2 linked regions of the Tribolium castaneum genome follow. The protein of the gene in region 2 binds, or shares a complex with, the protein of the main gene of each other region. Links are inferred from orthologs where the notes say so. Each region holds a gene or a part of one and is shown on either strand. Other genes may lie near its edges.

Evidence for each region.
Region 1: TfIIEbeta (region 2) and Polr2L share a complex: the UniProt entries of both Homo sapiens proteins name them as parts of the TBP-based Pol II pre-initiation complex. The link is inferred for Tribolium castaneum from reciprocal best matches to the Homo sapiens genes GTF2E2 and POLR2L.

What each region holds. Positions count from the first base shown.
Region 1 is NC_087394.1:15,049,776-15,052,117, forward strand, and holds Polr2L (RNA polymerase II subunit 10), read right to left. Parts: upstream 735-2,342; coding exon 531-734; downstream 1-530. Other genes in the region: Sumo (small ubiquitin-related modifier 3), read left to right, coding at 1,395-1,412, 1,499-1,618. UniProt on the Homo sapiens protein: DNA-dependent RNA polymerase catalyzes the transcription of DNA into RNA using the four ribonucleoside triphosphates as substrates.
Region 2 is NC_087396.1:10,271,540-10,276,140, reverse strand, and holds the start of TfIIEbeta (general transcription factor IIE subunit 2), read left to right. Parts: upstream 1-1,677; 5' UTR 1,678-1,792; coding exon 1,793-1,854; intron 1,855-1,909; coding exon 1,910-2,011; intron 2,012-2,065; coding exon 2,066-2,228; intron 2,229-2,279; coding exon 2,280-2,480; intron 2,481-4,601. UniProt on the Homo sapiens protein: Recruits TFIIH to the initiation complex and stimulates the RNA polymerase II C-terminal domain kinase and DNA-dependent ATPase activities of TFIIH. Both TFIIH and TFIIE are required for promoter clearance by RNA polymerase.

The sequences.
Region 1 (2,342 bases), on a different chromosome or scaffold from region 2:
TAACAAAAAAGTTACAGACCGCACCCCTGAGTCACCCTGTATCTTTTAAAAAAATCACCAACAATTATTGTCTTATGGTGTTACAAACACTTAAATTAGCAAATTATACAATAAATAATTTAATATTAATCATATTAATATTATTAATCACTGGAAACAAAACAACAATTAAAATGGTTGCTAAAGAAAACAAATACAAGAATGATAAAAAAATCAAGTTGCTTGGGAAAAGATCTGACTTCATTTCTAAACTTTACTGGACATCCCTTATCACCATATCGACACTTTCTTGACCCTCTAGACATGGTTGAATTAACAAAGATAATGCAATTTTTTTGAATAACTTTATAAAAATAAACAAAAAAGTTACCGTGAACTCGTGAAGTAGGAAAAACTAAATAGGATGTTGCAAAAATGCTGGTTTATGAAAGACAAGGCATAATAGTAAAATTTATTCAAAAACGCGCCTTTTTACATGCCATAAAATTAAACTTACACCTACACTTACTTAACAGACTTACTACTACAGATTACTTCTCTAAAGGAGCATAATTCAATAACTTTTCAATAAGATCGACGTGTCCAAGAAGCATTCTTCTGCAACAGTACCTCTTCAAACCCAAAGCATCCAAAGCATCTCCTTCCGTATATTCAGCTTGCAAAAGCCCAAGATAAGCCTCCCATTTATTTCCAATAACTTTCCCACAAGTAAAACAACGAACCGGTATAATCATCTTGTCTCGACAAAACCTGAAAAAATATAACCTAATTTTTCACTGACACATCAAAAATTAACCAAATTCTGTACCTCACACTCTCGCTTAATCAAAATTTGTTGCGTTGGTATTTAGACTTTAAATTAGATTACTTTCAAAAAGCTTTAACTGCGCTTTTCTAGAAGCTTTTTGATTTCTAATTTCGTGAATTTCTGGGTTCTTCACTTCTGGAATATTGGTGCTCCTGATCAATTGAAGCTTGTGGCCTGCCATCTGTCGACGGCAATAACAAATAAGGATTAATTTCTTGATTAAATTATTAAAAAATCGCAGAAAACATGTGAAAGTTATATTGAAAACAAAGCCTAATTTTTTGTATTAATTTACCGCGTTGTTTCAAGCACGTTTTGTCAACGTGAAGTGGTAAATTTCTACAAATGTTTCAAGCGGAAGTGTGAAGTTTGAACAGCTAAAGCCGACTTTGACTAACCGCGTAGTCACTTCCGGCGAGCAGTTACCGCTACTTTGCAAGCAAGCCGGCCATTATTTGTTAGCGGCAAGCTGCGTGTCTGTTGATAAAACGGTTAAAAGTGCACCAAATTCCACTAAAACCGTTTACATTTGTGCATCAACTTCGGCCCCAGACCCTCCTACAAGCCACAACCAAATTTGCCAAATATGGGTGACGAAAAGAAGGTAAACATGACTTTTCTTTCCTAACCATAAACGAGGTTTTTTTCCCGTAATTTTGAACTGATACTCACGTTTTTGGGACTTTGCAGAGCAATGAAACGGAACATATCAACTTGAAAGTACTGGGACAAGATAATGCTGTCGTCCAGTTCAAGATCAAAAAGCACACCCCTCTCAGGAAGCTGATGGGGGCTTATTGTGAAAGAGCGGTAAGTGTTACACTTTATCTCAGATTCTTTAGTTTATTACTGGGACAAATGAGTAAGAACATGGATTGTGATTCATACTTGTGTTTACTAAAATGTATCAAAAGCCGCATCCTTTCTCCAAGTCTTTAATGTGCCATGATTTGCATTTTTTTCATGTTTGGACGTCTGAAACCGCCACATTTGTTGCAACTCAACTTCTTAAATGTCTAAACCAGGATTTGTTAATGTTTGTTCACTCCTGTGCGTAGTGATTGGTTGTATTCGGAAATAAAATTAACTAGACGCCCTCTGGTGACGACTTTTGAACTATGTCGAAAACAGTAACGAAATTTTCGTAATTCAATATTTAATTTAATTTTTTAATTTAACAATTTTGCGTGTGTAGTGTTAATTACTTACAGTAGAGAGAATCACTTTAAGGTAGTTGGGGCCTTACAATCGGAGCAAAAAGTTAGGCCAAAAGAATATATGGTGCCACAGTGTATAGTATCCACAGTAACCAACCCAAAAATTTTTACTGTGAATGTACTGCCCTGGCCAGTCATAACTCATTTGTGGAATGTGACAACACTGTCGGAGTTTCGATTGAAAATGTCAAATGTGTCAAATAATTACATCACAAAGGAAGAATTATTAGGCTAAAACCATCGATAAACGATGAAAAGCTACAGCGGTTTTACTGTAAACGCGTCCTATTTTCGAAATTTAACCGAAAAAAACCGTA
Region 2 (4,601 bases):
AATATTTAATAAACAGACAAGTAAATAAAAAACCTAAATGAAATACATCGTTCTGGCCTATCTCGGCAACTATTTTTTGCTTATTGTATCGGTAAAATTCAAAAATGGAAATGAAAATTTCTGGATTAAAAAGCAACCTAGAAGATTAAGAAATTGGCTCAAAAGACGTTCATAATTTAACTCAACATTTAACGAGTTGTTTTAAAAAAATATCTTTTGAAATTTGAAGAAAATACTAAATGAAATATAAAAATGTACCTTCTTCGCGTATCGCAGAAAAATTAACGGAAATTAAAACTGCTGAAATACCTGTAGCTATGTACCTATGAATCTTTTTGTTTTTTAAAGATTCACTGTTAATTAGGTAATGTGTAATGTTAGGTAGTTAGACGCAACTTAAGAGATACTCTTAAATGGGCCTACTGTAGACCAATTTTTAATTCGTGATCTTTTTCATGTAAATGAAACAAACATAAAAAAAAACAAAGGTTTATTCAAATTTTAGTTATTATTATAAGTTATTTTTTAAGCAAAGTGAAGTGAAGGTTCGTATCAAAGATATCAATTACCTTGAAAATGTCAACATTAACACTTCTTTCGATAGCCAAAAGAGATAATGAAGACAACCTTTCTTGGCCAATCTTCCTAGTGTTCGTTTTCAACCGCCGCAAGCGAGAAAAAGACCTCTCACAAGATGTTGTGTTTATTGGAATCGCAAAAAATAAACATATAAAGGTCAAAAAGTAGAGGGAACATACTTTTCATAGCCCTTCAACAAAAATGTCGGCTCTTTCTTGGATAATTTTGTTTTTTCATTCTTCCATATTACAAATAATGTTGAGCTGAACAATTTTGGATGGCAATTGCCACCCCCAAATTACGCACTGCCCCAGGTAGTCTTAGCTGGGACAAAATTGTCTCAAAATTGGCGAATTATTCCGAGTTCAGAGCGTTGTAGAGTTCCGTAGCTTAAATGTATGAGAAGACACAAAATGAAGATTTACTTTGAATTGCGTTTTCTTCAAACGCGGGCTAAAAATTTTAGTGTTTATTGTTATTTATGGTGTTCTTAGATGATTGTAGAAAATAATAATTTAAAACTAATTAAAAAATTGTGTAATTTTTTTAGAAAAAATATTTTATTCATTCAACTTGTTTAATTTTTCTTAAAAATGTAACAACAAATTACAAAAACTTAATTTTTTTACACCAAAATAAAGCTATTTTTTAAGAAATCGACAATCGTTTTACATTATTATTCTCAACAATCATCTTCACCATAAATAAGAATAAACACTTAAACTTTTAGTCCGTATTTGAAGAAAACGCAGTGCAAAGAGAAAGTGATCTTCAAACCAAAGTAATGGGGAAGCCCCGAATCTTCATTTGGTTTCTACATTTGGACTACTGAAGCGATTCTTTACTATCTTTACAATGCTCTGAACTCGAAATTCGCAAATTTTGAGACAGCTTGCATTGTAAAACAAAAACCAAAAAACCTCCACACAGCAAGCTAGTAGTTGGCATCACATCCGATTAAAAACTAGAGTTAATTAACAACGATTATTACTACATATTTCTATAATTAGTAATTAATTAAATAATAATATTGCAAAAAAATATATAAAATTCGGTTCAAGGAACAGTCGGCCACAAAAGACAGACAGCGCAAGGCATCGGTCCCCCACCACTTGTCACTTTGACAGCCGTGAATGTCAAATGCAAAAGAAAACAGATGATTATTCCTCAAACAACATAGTTCGTATTATTTATTTATTATTTCTCCAATAAAATGGACCCCGCCTTACTAAAAGAAAGAGAATTATTCAAAAAACGTGCACTTACAACTCCTACGTAAGTAGCATTCGCATTTTGTCAACTTATTCAGTTAATTTTGTTCTACTTTCAGTGTAGAAAGAAAAAAGACTGATTCAAGACCAGAACCAACTCGCGATGATAGCAAAAGGTTTAAGTCTTCTAGTAGTAGCACCCCTAAACTTGATATCAACACGTAAGCAGCAAAACATTGCAAATTTGAATCAATTACTTTGTGATTTTTTTTTAGATACAAAACAGCAACAGGAAGTTCGCAATATCGATTCGGTGTTCTCGCTAAAATCGTGAAACATATGAGGAAGAGACACCAAGAAGGTGAAACATATCCACTCACATTAGAGGAAATTTTAGACGAAACTAATCAATTAGACGTAGGGAATAAAGTCAAGCAAGTAATTTTGTGTCATTATTACAATACTTAAATGTAATGGTGTTGATTTAAGTGGCTGCAAACCGAAGCGTTAGTCGATAATCCTAAAATTGAGGTCACTCCTGACGGAAAATTTTTATTCAAAGCTCCATATAAACTTAAAGACAGGAAAAGCTTACTGAAACTATTGAAACAACAAGATTTGAAAGGGTTAGGCGGTGTGTTGTTAGACGACGTGCAAGAGTCGTTACCACACTGCGAAAAGGCTTTGAAGGTATCATTCTTTTAGTTATTTTCTAAACGAACGACGTACAAATAAAACGTCTCCGACTTCAATATTTTCGGTAATGTCGCCAAAAAGCCCAGTTGACTATTTAAATAACTATTAACACAATTCAAAAAAATACAGGCACATAGAGCATTAAATTTTCAAGAGTAACAACTAAAAATAATGCAAAAATTTCAAACATATTAATTTGCAGTGTGACCCATATTTTTAAAACGCTGTTAATTTGGTTAAAGATACAAGAAAAATGTTAGGAACAAAGTAGTAGAAAAATCAATTTTCTACAAAAAAGTCCGCGACTATTTTTCTTTACAACTTTGTTCTTCACACTTCTTTATACCTTTAAACGTATTCGCTATGTTTTAAAAATTATAACGCGGATTGCAAATTGATAATAAATGTTTATATTTTTTTGCACTTTTAATTTAAATTAAAAACTTAATACAGAAAGAGTCAGAGATTAAGATAGTGGAAACACTTTATTGAAAACAGTGTCAAAAAATCGCATATTTATATATATGAAAACGCTGCGAATTCAACTAAAGATGTGTAAGAAGCATAGATGTAGAGAATTAAATTTCCTACAAAAAAGTCCGCCACATCTTCATTGGTTTAGGTATAAATTAATTTTCCAATACTTGACCATAAAATGAAACGAAACCGCTGTGTGAGCATTTTTAAACATTTTTGGGGCCTAAATAGTTGAAGATGTAGATATGGGGTCGTATGAATAAAGTTGAAGTATTTACTTAAAGTATGAGTATAAAGGAAAAGCATTTGCTCTTGCTTTTACTTCTTTAGTTTTTTGGAGAATCTGCTCTCAAAATAAATCATTGTAGTGAAGTTTTCAATGTTGTAATTTTTAAAATGGATTTCCATCTCCTCCCATTTCGTTGTTCTCACTCAAAAAATACCTAGCCAAAGCACGAAGATTTTTTCGTTCAAACCGATATAAAGTCTTAAAATCTTATCCTATGTGTTCGCGAGGTTGTTTATAAGTTTTTCTTACCCATAGTTGCACAACACCCACCATTGTTTCGAGTTTGAGGTGTTACTTTTAAAAATTGATGCTCCTACTGATTAGCGTCAACAATTTTGAACTAAATCCTCAACGAAAAAAGCATTTACTTTGTTTTATTCATTTTGTTTTGAGTAAAACCTCGACGTTCAAGCAAATACTCGCCCAGTGTGCTTTTACTTTTAGTAAAAACTTATACTTACATTTTTACTCATACAATTTAGAACATTTACTTGCAAAATTTGAAGTAAAAGCATTTACTCAATTGTATTCATACGGCCCTTGGTTTCGCAGATTTTTTAATAGCTATTTATTGTATAAGTGTTTTCGAAAGCATTTTATCCACGCAAGAATGTTTAATATTCTCAAGTGGATAAAATGCGACTAAAACATGAATGCAATACAATGTTTTATCCACAATCGTAAAATTAATCTTGGCAGGCTTTGTCTGGTAGTCATAATTCCTAGTTTATTCCACTAGTGGATAATAGGTCACTATAAGGCTAAAGGGGACGACAGAGTTAAACCAAGTGTGTGGCAAAGACAAGTAGTAATGAAATTTATTTTTCTACTTTTGGCGATATTTGTAATCCAATTTTAAATCGAAAAATGGAATTGACTCTTTTAAATAATTATAATTTGAGACAACGTAAGACTTTGAAAAAAAATTATTTGATATTTTTTTATTAAAAGTTTAAACAAATATTCATAATATTTTTAAAAATGTGTACGGGAAAGATGCACAGTGATGGTACGAACAGAATGCGTCCAAAAAACGAAAAATTTTGTTGTAGTTTTGAACGAATCGCGAATATTCATTTTGACAAAATTTGCCGCCGAGAATCTCCCACAGTCAAGTGCGGGACAAGAGAAAGAGAGGGCAAAAGCAACTAAAGACTAGAAGATGTAAAACACGATATTTCTGTATCCTAGTATTATTCATACAAACAATTATGGTGTTAATTCTATGAACTGAATTTAGTGAAGCATCAACAAAATCTTTTTTTTCACTTTGGAAACAATAGGTCAAATTTTAATTTATTTTTGGTAAAAAAATTATTTTGTCATGAAGATTTCTGATGATAGATTGA